Astyanax mexicanus: one gene and its partner. The protein of the gene in region 2 purifies or fractionates together with the protein of the main gene of each other region. This does not show direct contact. Links are inferred from orthologs where the notes say so. Each region holds a gene or a part of one and is shown on either strand. Other genes may lie near its edges.

Region 1 (7,095 bases), on a different chromosome or scaffold from region 2:
GTAGATATATAATGGGAAATGAGAACAGTGTGCATTTTTGTTTTGCTAAAAACAGCAAAAAAGGTAGTTCCCTGATCAGGGTTCTTTCTCCAGTTTTAAAGTCAAATTTAATGCGTTTTAAGATCTTTTTAAGACCCCAATAAATATAATTTAATGCCCAAAAATGTAGTCATAACTTCTTAAGTAGAAAATAAATTCTTATATTGAAAATTAAAACGTAACATTTGCCATTTGTTATAAATTTTCTTTTTCAATTTTGTTTGATTGTGCTGTAGAACATGTTAGCATGTTTGCTAACTCACCCCTGATGTTAGCTAGCTCTCCGCTAACCCTAGTTTTCTCCCCAGTAACAAAGCTAACTCCCCGCTAACGTTAGTATGTTATCTAGCTCGTCGCTAATGTTAACTCTGCTAACCTTAGTTCTCTCCCCGTTAAGGTTAATGTTAGCTAGATCTACGCTAATGTTAGCTAGCTTTACGCTAGCTTTCCTCTCCAGTAACATTAGCTAGCTCTCAGCTAACCTTATTTCTCTCTCCAGTAACTCACCGGTAATGTTAGTATGTGCTTTCCCACTGGCATTAAATGCACCATCTAAAAATGTATACCTAAAGCAAATTTACAGTAACTTAAGACAATTTAAGACCTTAATTATTAAGATTTTAATTTAATACATTTTAAGATTTTTTTTAAGGACCCGTGGGAACCCTGCTGATGTGATAATTAGGGGTGAGTGATTTGATAGGATATTTCAGGGTATAATATCGTTCACGACATTCAAAAATATGACACACCCCTAGATGTAATGGTATTATTATGCCATAATGTTATCATAACATGAATGATATCGATAACATAATGTATTGTAATAGATTCAAGGACCATATATTGTCTGCAAAAATTAGTTATTTTGACTGGCCTAAACGAAACCGAAACTTTTACCTCAGAAAGTATGTTCTGTATAAGACACTATTTGCACTTAGAAAATCAACATCACATGTAATCTGACAAGGGGTGCACAACAATTTTCACAAGACTGAGTGAACATACATATACACACACACACACACACACATTTATTTTTTAAAAACACTTTAAAGACGGATGGCCCCCACTTACTTTGATGGGCATTCCTGTGCAGTGCAGTCCGAATGGGAACAAGCATCGCTTTCCTTTCAAACGCTGGTACCCCATCGAAAACTACAGAAATCACATTGTATTAAACGTCAGCCATTAAGGATAACATACATTTGCACACATTTACATTAAAAGATTCATCATCAAACTTTTGTTCTATAGTATAACTGGCCAGCAGACTTACCTCACACTTGGAAAGGCAGAACGTGTGGCCCAGATGCAGCCTCCCATTCATGTAGGGGTAAGGGAAGGTAACAAAGTACTTGTTTTTACTGTAAAACAAAGAACAAAAAAAAGATTATTGATCATATTTTAGACTATATTTTCTCAATAAAACAAGCAAACCAAACTCACTTCTTAATCTCCTCAGCTGTGGTCAGCGCATCACACTCAAAGGCCTTTTCCTTCTCCCATTTCTGCTGGATATCCTGCTCAATCTTCCTCAAGAAGTCGAGCTTTGCTGTTCCTTTTCTTTCCTGGAGTGATCAATAAACACAAAATGTAGATGAAGAAGCCCAAAAGAGACAACTGATTCCGCCAATATAAATTATAAAAATGTGTTTGTGACATTTAAATACCCACTATTAAATACTTAGTCATAAAAAGAAAAAGTGTGATTCACAGATCTATGTTGTGATTAATCAGAATTTTTTTTATTCATTGACAGCTCTAATATTTATATCTACGAAAAAGAATCTGAAATACAGCAAGGCTTATTTCAGCAAGTCTCAAGCCTAGCAGATTTCAAATGAAAAAAAATAGAAAAAAATTAAGATGAACAAACTATTATGTGTACAAATATAATACAATAAAAAATGGGTAGAGGTTAAATTAATGTGTTAGTAAATTGTGAAAAATATTTATAACAAACTTAATATTAAGATTACATTTTATTGTCTTAGAAATTAGATTAGTCATATTATTATCATACTATTGTCATTAAGCGAACATTTAAGGATTTTCCTTAAGAAAGCCCTTACATAACAATTAAGGTACTTTTTCCTTAAAAAGACGCCCATCTTTAAGGGAATGTTCAGGGCAATCTTAAAGGAAAACACTAAGCTAGATGTTTTATGCAACCGGCCACCGGGGTGTTGTGTAGAGTTATTCTACCCATCGATGCGTGCACTGCGCATGCGCTGAACTACACTTTAAAATTATTTATCGTGTTTTTTTATTAAAGTTAATGAATCTGTTACAAAATATTACAAAATTGTAATAACCTCTCTTTGCCATAACTTCACAATGATACAGTAATTTATGCTATCCAAATATACTAGCTAGCTAGCTAGCTACATATAGTATGACTTATACTGGAAAGATGCTGTAATATAGTGTTTCTTTTGTGCTTTTCCAGTTAAATATACACTATGGAAGCACGGTTTGACAAGGTAGCACAATTCGACAGAACACCGGTCACTGCTCTGTGAGTGACAGCTGTAGCTTCTCTCTTTAGCTGAAAGCAATAAACAGGCTTCTTTCACAAATAATAAAACACAGTTAAAAGACAACTGACCTAACTTAGCTAAGAAACATTTAAACACTTGTAACATAACATTCAGAACAGCAATAAATAGAGTTGATCAGAAATGAAACACTGATACAAAGTTAGCACAGAAGCTATTTAGCTAGCTAGGTTAACAGCTAGCTTTAGGGTTACTCTTAGCATGAGAGTTGATTAGGATGACTTCGAGGTTCAGCTTTCACTGTAGCAGAAGGTACAGAGTGTATTTACAGTTTTTCATGTGTGTACAGAAAACGCCAGACCTACCGTCATCCTGCTCTTTAATGTAGGAACAACTTTTCACTGCACAATCAGACTGGAGACCCACGCCGCCGCCGGCTCCTGCACAGAGCTGATGACACCTTCAGCAAGAGACCGCTGAGCACTGAGCATTCTGGGAAGTGTAGTTCTACTCATGGCCACGTGAAGAAGTTACGCACAGCAGTAGGTTAACCTACGTCCACCAGCGCAGAAACGACACACTGGAGCCCCTAACTGTAAACTGTGATAATATGGGGTCATAATAAACGTGATTTAAAGCTGTTTATTAAAGGTGTCAGTTTGTAAACATTAACTGTTTAAGCGCAGCCTTGCAGCATGTTTATGGTTTCAACAGTGGTTTCCAATTAGTGACGGAAAGTTTGAATCACTGAATCGATTCTTTCGACGTTCGCCCGCTTTAACGAATCTAAGTATTTGCAACAGTCTATGATTTGCAAGAAATACAGCTCTGGAAAAAAGTGACCACTTAAGTTTCTGAATCAGTCTTTCTGATTTTGCTATTTATATGTATACGTTTGAGTACAATGAACATTGTAGTTTTATTCTATAAACTACGGACAACATTTCTCCCAAATTCCAACTAAAAATATTGTCATTTAGAGCATTTATTTGTAGAAAATGAGAAATGGCTGAAATAACAAAAAAGATGTAGAGCTTTCAGACCTTAAATAATGCAAAAAATAAATAAATAAATATCATATTAAAAAGTTTTAAGCGTTCAGAAATCAATATTTGTCAGAATAACCCTGTTTTTTTATGTTTTCATGCATCTTGGCGTGTTCTCCTCCACCAGTCTTACACACTGCTTTTGGATAACTTTATGCCACTCCTGGTGCAAAAAATCAAGCAGTTCAGCTTGGTTTTGTGGCTTGTGATCATCCATCTTCCTCTTAATTATATATTTCAGAGGTTTTCAATTTTTGTAAAATCAAGTGGTCACTTTTTTATTTATTTTTTTTATTAAAATATTATTGTCATTTTAGGACCATATTATGCCACTGACCTAATCAGTATAATAATGCATTTGCACATTTTTTTTTCAAATAATGACAGTTTAACCATTAAGAATATTTAGACAATTTAAATAAAATATATTAATGTAATACAACGTAAATAATGTGCAACATTAAGGTCAGAAAATACTTTTTTATGTCTATATAAAATACGGTAAGATGTTAAAACGTATTCTACTTATTGTGACAGATTCAGTTGCTTGAAAATGCTAGAAAATAGCTTTGTCAAAGTAAAACTATGAATCGTCTTGAAAAGAATCGGATCAGTAAAGCTGATTCGTTGGTTTGTGAGTCGGACCTCGCTGTTTCCAGTGTGTTTGAACCAATGAGTCTATTGGTTTGAACGGAGCTAGTGCAGTTCGTCAGACGGTCGAGTGATTAAGAGGAGGCCCATGTTGAATTAACGTTATTTCTGTAGAGGATGAAAGTAGGAATAGCGCTGACAAAAAACCCACGTCTAGTCAGTGTTGTTCGGTGCTCGGCACGATGATTATAGATAATGTGGACGCTCTGAAGTCATGGCTGGCTAAACTCCTCGAGCCGATGTAAGTGAGCACTGGGAATGACATTTTTAGCATAGCCTAGCCTAGCTTCCACTTGCTAGCGCTTTCGCTCGTTAGCTTGATAGTTAGTTAGCTAGCCTGAAGCGGGCTATGTTAGTTAGCTAACACACACACTTGTATGTTTTAGCGCTTATTTATTAGTCTGTACTGACATTCGCTTTTAAAGCGAGATTGTAAAAACCCTGAATAACTGTTTTCATGGCCCACAGTGTGTCACTTTCTGCACTTTTCAGTAGCCTGAAGCTAGCTTACCCAGCTAAGCTAAGCTAAGCTAGCCCATAGACTGTACTGTTGATATCCAGGCAGCAGCGCGAGGGGTCCCACTCTGGCTAGGCCAAGAGAGGGCCAAATGAGCAGGTCCTTTAGTTAGTTTGTGAAATTAAATAATTTGGGCGAATCTTTTTTTTCCTAAATGCTGGAGCCCAGAAACATTTGCCTAAATGGTAGAATGCCACTAGAACGGTGTTATTCAGATTTTGGCTGAATTGTGGAATGGAGCCCAGGAATATTTATGTAATATGTGCGTTGCAAATATATTTGGCTAATAAAACTCAGTTACATGCACAAACTTTTGGCTAGCTAAATGGAGGGATACACAATATTTTTGGTTATTGAAGATGTGTCCAAAAGCTTTTGGCAAATTGTTCTAGTTCAGAAACGTTTCGTTAAATGGTTAAATAGCATTAGAACTGTGGTAAATAGCCTAATGTTGGTGTCCAAGAAAAATTGGCTAATTGGTCAAATAAAGCACAAGAACATTTGAAAAATATGCTGCCTGCAGGTATATTTGGCTAAAAGAACTATGTCCACAAACTTTTGGCTAGGTAAATGGAAGAATACACAATACTGTTGGTGGTTATTGGAGATGTTGTCAAAAGCCATTGTTCAGAATAATTTGGTTAAATGGTGAGAGACAGAGCTCTGTCCACAAGCTTTTCTTTTACTCAATACTGACGTCCAGAAACATTTGGCTTAATGGTAAATTAGCATTACGGTGGTAACTGTTGTAACTAGCTTGTTAAGCTTTTGGCTAAATGTTGGTATCCAAAATATATTGGCTCAATGTTACATTTGCAAAATATTTGGCCTTCAGAAATATTTGGCTTATAGAGCTATGTCCACAAACCTTTGGCTAGCTAAATGGTGGAATACATTACATATTGTTAATGGCGATGTGTCCACAAGCTTTTGGCAAATTGAGTCTAGAAACATTTGGCTAAATGGTAAAATACCATTAGAAATGTGTTTATAAGATTTTGGCTAAATGGTGGATTGGAGCCCAAAAACATTTGCATAATATGTGGACTACAGATAGCTTGGCTAAAAGAGCTATGTCCACAAACCTTTGGCTAGCTAAATGGTGGAATGCATAAAATATGGTTAATGAAGATGTGGCCTCAAGCTTTTTGACAAATTGTTTAAGTCCAGAAGCTTTTGGTAAAATGTTGGAACGCAAGAATTTTTTCAAACATTTGGCTAAATGGTTTAATGCCATTAGAACTGTTATTTAGATTTTGTCTGAACTGTAAAATGGAGACCAGGAATATTGGTATAATATGTGGACTGCAGATATATTTGGCTAATAGAGCTATGTCCACACACTTGGCTAGCTAAATGGTGGAATACATTACATATTGTTAATGGCGATGTGTCCACAAGCTTTTGGCAAATTGAGTCTAGAAACAATTGACTCAATGGTAAAATACCATTAGAAATGTGTTTATTAGATTTTGGCTAAATGGTGGATTGGAGCCCAAGAACATTTGCATACTATGGACTACAGATATGCTTGGCTAAAAGAGCTATGTCCACAAACCTTTGGCTAAATTGTGGAATGCACTATATTTGTTAATATTAATAGAGATGTGGCAAGTCCAGAAGCTTTTAACGCGTTTAATGTTGAAATACAACAACCTTTGCATACATTTGGCTAAATAGTCAAATTCAGATATGTTTGGTTGGTGGAGGTCTGTCCACAAACATTTGCCTGAAAGTCCAAAACCATTCCAAACATCAAGTTTTGGCAGTGCTGGTATACAAAGTTTGAATGGTAAAATGCAGATTTTCTAACAAACAAAGTTTTGTCCACCAGTATTTGTTTTTATTTTTTATTTTCATTGTGCAAAACATTGGCCAAATAAGGTAACTAGTTGGTCCAAAAGCTGCTCAGACATTCATTTTGAGGAACGCTGAAAAAGAAGGCTGTGCATGTTCTCTCAGTTGGAGTGTGGGGAAAAATAGTGATGATTTTACAAAAAAAAAAAAAAAAACATTTGACTGAATGATGTAATGCATATATTTTGACCAATACAGCTGTGTCCACAAGCGTTTGGTTAAATGTTGGAATACAATAACCTTTGCATACATTTGGCTAAATGGTATGTGTAATGCTGTTTATTCCTGTGGAAGTTCTTACAAGAATCGTAAATCGTTAGATCATAAATCATAAACCTAAGCTGTCATCTTTAAAATTGCAATGGATTTACTGTTTGTAGCTCAGAAAGTGTGGAATGTAATAAAAAAAAGCCCACTGGTTGAGTTTTCAAAATGATGGCCCAGCTGCCTTCACACTAATTAAAATGAAAAAGTGAGACTGGTA
Region 2 (7,133 bases):
CATACTTTACACAAACTTCACATTTCACTTACTGAGACTCTCATATTCTACACACTTCACTTACTGAGACTCTCATATTCTACACACTTCACTTACTGAGACTCACATACTTTCTACACATTCACTTACTGACACTCACATTTTTACACACTTTACTTACTGAGAATCACATATTATCTACACACTTCACCTACTGAGACTCACATACTTTACACACACTTCACTTACTAAGACTCACACACTCTCTACACACTTCACTTACTGAGACTCACATACTCTCTACACACTTCACTTACTGAGACTCACATACTTTTTATAAACTTTACCTGAGACTCACACACTCTCTACACACTTCACTTCCTGAGACTCACATACTCTCTACACACTTCACTTCCTGAGACTCACATACTCTCTACACACTTCACTTACTGAGACTCGCACATTCTACACTTCACTTACTGAGACTCACACACTCTCAACACACTTCGATTACTGAGACTCAATCACTCTCTACACACTTCACTTACTGACTCACACATTCTACACTTCACTTACTAAGACTCTCACCCTCTCTACACACCTCACTTACAGGGACTCACTCTCTACACACTTCACTTACTGAGACTCACATCCTCTACACACTCCGGTATGAACAGTGTGATAAGTGGGGTTATGCAGGTGTTAGTAGGTGTAATATGAGGGTTATAAAGGAGTACAGGTAACAGGTAAAGGTAAACACACACCGCGGTGTTTTGGACTGCAGGACTCGCACGCGCTGCTCCTCACCGGCCGCTGCAGAAGGAGCCCTAATACGGAAATGATGCAACTAAGCGGCAAGCACGAGCGGACGTCATAACGCGGAGCAGATTTTTTCAAAATAAAAGTCCCAATATACACGTGATTAAAAAAAGTGTATTTGTTTACATATAACAATAACAACAGGGGTTGGGCGTTTTTAATCCCCTTAGTATTTGGTATAAAGAGTTTGATAATATAAAGAAATATAAACATTTCTAACTGTCAAGCTCCACTACATAGTTCATAGTTATAAAGCCATTGTATTTTAAACATTTGCAGCAATACATTTTACATTCTATATATATATATATATATATATATATATATATATATATATATATATATATATATATATATATATATATGTATAATGTGTCCTCATGCTATTAGCCGCTATTGAGCTATTTTTAATGTTTTTGCTATTTCTGTATTAAAACTCATCCCTGTTATTTTCAGTCCTGTTACACAAAACATACAAAGTAACAGGAATGAGTGTCAGTAACAGGAGTAAATTCCAGTAACAGGAATAATTGCCATTAACAGTAATTTTTTGTTTGGCATAAATATAAATTAGTTGAACACGCAGTCAACCATTTCTTAAGAGAAAATTCAAGGAATTAGTGGACTTGCATTTAAACATGCTTTTTAAATGTTTAACCTACACATTATAAACCTTGTAAAACAAATAAATAAAGCTCCCTGAGTTTGACCAGTACATGTTTTGAATAGTTAAATATATGTTATTAGTTTCGGAGTTGTAAAAATGAAAAAAGATTACGTTTAATTTGGAAGAGTTAAAAGAAGCAAATCGCACCAATTGAGTAAAATGGCCCATATATGGAGTATATATTTCTAACAGACAGGCCCAGTTAATTTTAAAGAAAATAAACTCACTAAATATCCATTTAAAAAACTAGTATGGCCTGCTAAAGCTAAGATTACACTAGTTGATTAGCTTAGCTTTTGACCAGTAATAGGTATGTATTGTGATGGGTTTGATTGTTTAGCTGATCAACAAGCATGTTAAAAGTGACCAAGCCAGACAATCAAGCATTTAAGCAGAGATTACACTGACACTTCTCTTTTCAGTACAGGAGGTTATGTCATTTATTTGCAGCTATATTAGTGTATTAGTTTGTTTTGGAGAAATTCAAAAGCAGAAGTGAAAGGCTCTGATGTAAACCAGTGTTCACTCCAGTGTGTGAAGGTTACTGGAGGGGGAGGGGGGCTTTTACATCTCTCTGGAGGAATTTTGGCTCCACTATTCTTTACAGAATTATTTTAATTCAGCCACATTAGAGGGTTTTCCAACATGAACCACCTGTTTATGATCATCCACAGCATCTCAAGTAGACTTTAACTAGACTTCTCCAAAATCTTAATTTTGTTTTTTAAGCCTTTTAGAGGTGGACTTGTTTGTGTGCTTTGGATCATTGTCCTGCCGCAGAACCCAAGTACAGCTGAGCTTGAGGTCACAAACAGATGGCTGGACATTCTACTTTAGGATTTTCTTGTAAACAGCAGAATTACTACCACCACCATGTTTTACATTTAGTATGAGAATCTTCTTCCAAAATCATGATATATTTTTTGTCAGACCTGCATTTCTTTAAAAGTTGTTCTGGGTTTTTTGTGACCTCCTGGATAAGTTGTCCATGCTCCTTTGGAATAATTTTGGTCGGCCCGAATCCTGGGAGGGTTCACCAGTGGTTCCATGTTTTCTCTATTTGTGAGTAATAGCTCTCACTGTGGTCGGTTGTAGTCTCAAAGCTTTAGAAAGGACTTTGTAATCATTTCTAAACTGACAGATGTCAGTGACTTTGTTTTCTCATATGTTTTTCTTTTATGTTTATTTATTTTGATTGCAGCATAATCTGTTGCTTTTTGAGATATTTTAGCTGTTTCATGTTGTCAGACAGGTTCTAATTAAGTGATTTTTATTCTACAGGTCTGGCAGTAATCAAGCCTGGTTGTGGTTAAGTGTGATTAATCATAGTTAATCTATGGGGGGCAAACACTTTTTCACAAATAGTTTTTGTCCCTTAAAAAATGAAATTATTATTTAAAAAGTTATTTTTATATTTACTCTTGTTAAATTTGTCTAATATTAAACGATAATACTTTCCAACAGCAGTTGGACAAACGTAAGTTTAGGAGTTATAAGGCATACCTATCTTAAAAAGCTAGACTTCCTTCTTAAAAAATAAAACATTCTAGATAACTTACCAATGATAAGCTGTCCAAAAACAGTGTATGTTTAGGTCTTGCTTGTCTTCCCTGCCACAACTGACGCTTTTTGCCCGGGTTTGGATTGAAGTGCTTGCCGCAAATCCACAGTATGGTCTTCTTTATGGTGAGAATCCAATCAGTGACAGTGTGTTAAGCTTAAATAGTGCACAACAATAGAAACAGAATTGGATAAGCATCACTTCTAGCACACCCAAAAGAATTCTCGTGAGAAAATCTTGTTCTACTACTTGAATCTCGTTCTACTGGTGAGCCACATCATGCCACAAGTGCATTGTGCACTGCTGGATAATTTGATTATCATCATTTGGTTTTAAGGCTCCCAGCTAATGCAGTGACAGAAGAGCCCCACCCCAAGGCACGGTCTTGAATTAGCAGCCTTGATTCATGCTGTGCCTTCAGGATTTACTGTCCTGAACAGAATAAATATTTACATTATTTACAGTTGAATATCTTTTCTTAGCGGAAGTAAACCCCATAATTTTCACTTTGTATTAACTTGGGCTTGAAAGTTGCATTTGTGTGTTATTTAGGCAAGTAAGCATGAGTCTTCTATTGTGCTAATGGAAAATGTATATTTTATAATAGGACCAATGTATGATCAATTTAAATGGATTTAGGAGGCTTGGAAACATGTGTGCTATCAGGGATGTCACTCCTGCTTTAAATTGTTGTGGCAAAATAAAAATTACCATTGAAAAGCAAGAAAATAGTCTCCTTAGAATAAACTTGTACAAAAACCATTAAAGACCCACTAAAGCCACTTTTCTAAACCATATTTTTTCCATAAATAGCTAAAATGTGTCCCTTTAAGTAATATAACATAATTTTTATGAACATTTCCTAACCTTTAAAAAACGCTTTTTATGGTGGTCATTTTCACCTCTGCAGTGTCCTCTCAGGTTCAATTGTGCTATAGGTGAGGATAATGTTTCCCTCTACTTTGGTATGCAAAAACATCACAATCATCCTTATGTCTATCCTTATGGGTCCTCACCGCTATCAGAGGCACACTGCTGCTGCTGCAGCTCAGCCAATCAGCTCTTCCTCCTGCTCTGCCTCTAAACCCATACATCACTCAATGCCCATCCAAAATTAGCCCTCCCATTTTTTTAGCCTTTTGAGGTGAGGGTGAAGTCAGCAAAAATCAGGGGCTTTAACACCTCTATGACCACCATAGCAACCAGCACCATAATGACTGGTAATGAGTACCATAGCAAGCCACCGAGAAACACAATAGCACCCACTTAGCAACACCTTTCCAATCATCTAAAGTACTATAGCACCCACCCTTACAGGTAACACTCACTTAACAACACAAGCAACATACCAAACACCACAAAAGTCACAAAATTAAACCACAAATGGACACATCCAGGCAGATCGCCGGACATCTCTACACATGTAAGAGACAGAGAGAGAGAGAGAGAGAGAAAAGAGGGGGAGGAAAGAAAAAGGGATTGGGTTGACTATGGATGGACACCTCGAGGCAGCAGCTCAGGACATTAGGAGGTTTATGTTTGGAGTGTGAGCTGTAAGAGGAATAGTGAGAGGGACGACAACAGTAATGACTTACTTCTTGTAATCAGAGAAATTACAGGACAGTAATAGTATGGCTGCAGGCTATAGAGAACCATTATGCTACGAGTGCTCCAGCGGGCTAAGTGCTGTCACTATGATCAGGAGATTGCTGGTTTGAATCCTGTTCATGTAGCTTGACATCAGCTACCGGAGCCCCGAGAGAGAACAATTGGCCTTGCTATCTCTGGGTGGGTAGATGGCGCTCTCTCCCCATATTACTTCAAAGGGTGATGTCTGCAGCATGAGGCGTCTGTGAGCTGATGTATCAGAACCAAGTCGCTGTGCTTTCGTGCTGTGATGCTATTTGGCAATGCTGCATCAGCAGCAGTTCAAAAAGAATTTACATGTGTCGGTAGAGGCTTGTGTTAGTCTTTAACCTCCTGGTGTTTTGGCATCACTTGTAATAGGAGGAATCCTAATGCGTGGGTTGGGTTATTGGCCATGTGAATTGGGGAGAAAATGGGGGAAAAAAAATAGACAAAAACCATTAAAGACCCACTAAAGCCACTTTTCTAAACCATATTTTTTCCATAAATAGCTAAAATGTGTCCCTTTAAGTAATATAACATAATTTTTATGAACATTTCCTAACCTTTAAAAAACGCTTTTTATGGTGGTCATTTTCACCTCTGCAGTGTCCTCTCAGGTTCAATTGTGCTATAGGTGAGGATAATGTTTCCCTCTACTTTGGTATGCAAAAACATCACAATCATCCTTATGTCTATCCTTATGGGTCCTCACCACTATCAGAGGCACACTGCTGCTGCTGCAGCTCAGCCAATCAGCTCTTCCTCCTGCTCTGCCTCTAAACCCATACATCACTCAATGCCCATCCAAAATTAGCCCTCCCATTTTTTTAGCCTTTTGAGGTGAGGGTGAAGTCAGCAAAAATCAGGGGCTTTAACACCTCTATGACCACCATAGCAACCAGCACCATAATGACTGGTAATGAGTACCATAGCAAGCCACCGAGAAATACAATAGCACCCACTTAGCAACACCTTTCCAATCATCTAAAGTACTATAGCACCCACCCTTACAGGTAACACTCACTTAACAACACAAGCAACATACCAAACACCACAAAAGTCACAAAATTAAACCACAAATGGACACATCCAGGCAGATCGCCGGACATCTCTACACATGTAAGAGACAGAGAGAGAGAGAGAAAAGAGGGGGAGGAAAGAAAAAGGGATTGGGTTGACTATGGATGGACACCTCGAGGCAGCAGCTCAGGACATTAGGAGGTTTATGTTTGGAGTGTGAGCTGTAAGAGGAATAGTGAGAGGGACGACAACAGTAATGACTTACTTCTTGTAATCAGAGAAATTACAGGACAGTAATAGTATGGCTGCAGGCTATAGAGAACCATTATGCTACGAGTGCTCCAGCGGGCTAAGTGCTGTCACTATGATCAGGAGATTGCTGGTTTGAATCCTGTTCATGTAGCTTGACATCAGCTACCGGAGCCCCGAGAGAGAACAATTGGCCTTGCTATCTCTGGGTGGGTAGATGGCGCTCTCTCCCCATATTACTTCAAAGGGTGATGTCTGCAGCATGAGGCGTCTGTGAGCTGATGTATCAGAACCAAGTCGCTGTGCTTTCGTGCTGTGATGCTATTTGGCAATGCTGCATCAGCAGCAGTTCAAAAAGAATTCACATGTGTCGGTAGAGGCTTGTGTTAGTCTTTAACCTCCTGGTGTTTTGGCATCACTTGTAATAGGAGGAATCCTAATGCGTGGGTTGGGTTATTGGCCATGTGAATTGGGGAGAAAATGGGGGAAAAAAAATAGAGAACCATTATGATGAGAAATTATCCAAAAGAGAAATGTTTTAAGTCTAAATTTAAAGACTGAGAGTATGTCTGAATCCTGTATATTAGTTGATCCAAAGTTAAAGTGCTTTATAAATGAAAGCTCTTCCTACTGCATATAGTTTTATGCACCTTACCAATGTCACAGCATCCTCTAAGCAATAGCTTAAATATCATCGTAACCACCATAGTAACCATCTGGGACACCATTAAAACCCTGTGATGAACCATATCAACCTTATAGCAGCCCCCAAGAAACATTTTAGCCACATCATACCATTCACTTAGCATAATCTAAATACCATACCACCACCTGAAAGACAGTATGCAAACACCCTAGCAACCACCAATGAACACATTAGTAAAACTATAACACTCACTGAGCAACAACTATACAAAAAAAAACACATCTGTGACATATCAACTTATCAACTAATTAACCTCCTGGGACACCGAAGAACCTTAAGGGCCATTCCACCAAATGGGTGCCATTTGCTTGTTGTAACTCTTTCAAATAGTGTTTTTTTTTTGGACTCTGATTCTAATAACACATATATTTAACTATTCAAAACATAGACTGATCAAACACAGGCAGCTTTAATTATTTTTTTTACAAGGTTCCTAATCTGAAGATGGTTACATTGTTCTCAGTCCTGTTACCAAAACTCATGTGACATTTTAAAAGCATGTT

What was found. Proteins that work in one complex are often made in the same cells at the same time.
Region 1: the proteins of iars1 (region 2) and lars1b purify together in Homo sapiens (affinity purification with mass spectrometry; 7 studies listed by BioGRID and IntAct, counting the BioPlex papers as one, with this or other methods). This does not show direct contact. The link is inferred for Astyanax mexicanus from reciprocal best matches to the Homo sapiens genes IARS1 and LARS1.

What each region holds. Positions count from the first base shown.
Region 1 is NC_064424.1:21,486,700-21,493,794, forward strand, and holds the start of lars1b (leucine--tRNA ligase, cytoplasmic), read right to left. Parts: upstream 3,022-7,095; 5' UTR 2,912-3,021; coding exon 2,906-2,911; intron 1,611-2,905; coding exon 1,489-1,610; intron 1,407-1,488; coding exon 1,319-1,406; intron 1,198-1,318; coding exon 1,117-1,197; intron 1-1,116. Other genes in the region: rbm27 (RNA-binding protein 27), read left to right, coding at 4,420-4,478. UniProt on the Homo sapiens protein: Aminoacyl-tRNA synthetase that catalyzes the specific attachment of leucine to its cognate tRNA (tRNA(Leu)).
Region 2 is NC_064431.1:13,417,335-13,424,467, reverse strand, and holds the start of iars1 (isoleucine--tRNA ligase, cytoplasmic), read right to left. Parts: upstream 3,044-7,133; 5' UTR 3,025-3,043; intron 823-3,024; exon of another isoform or gene 744-822; intron 1-743. UniProt on the Homo sapiens protein: Catalyzes the specific attachment of an amino acid to its cognate tRNA in a 2 step reaction: the amino acid (AA) is first activated by ATP to form AA-AMP and then transferred to the acceptor end of the tRNA.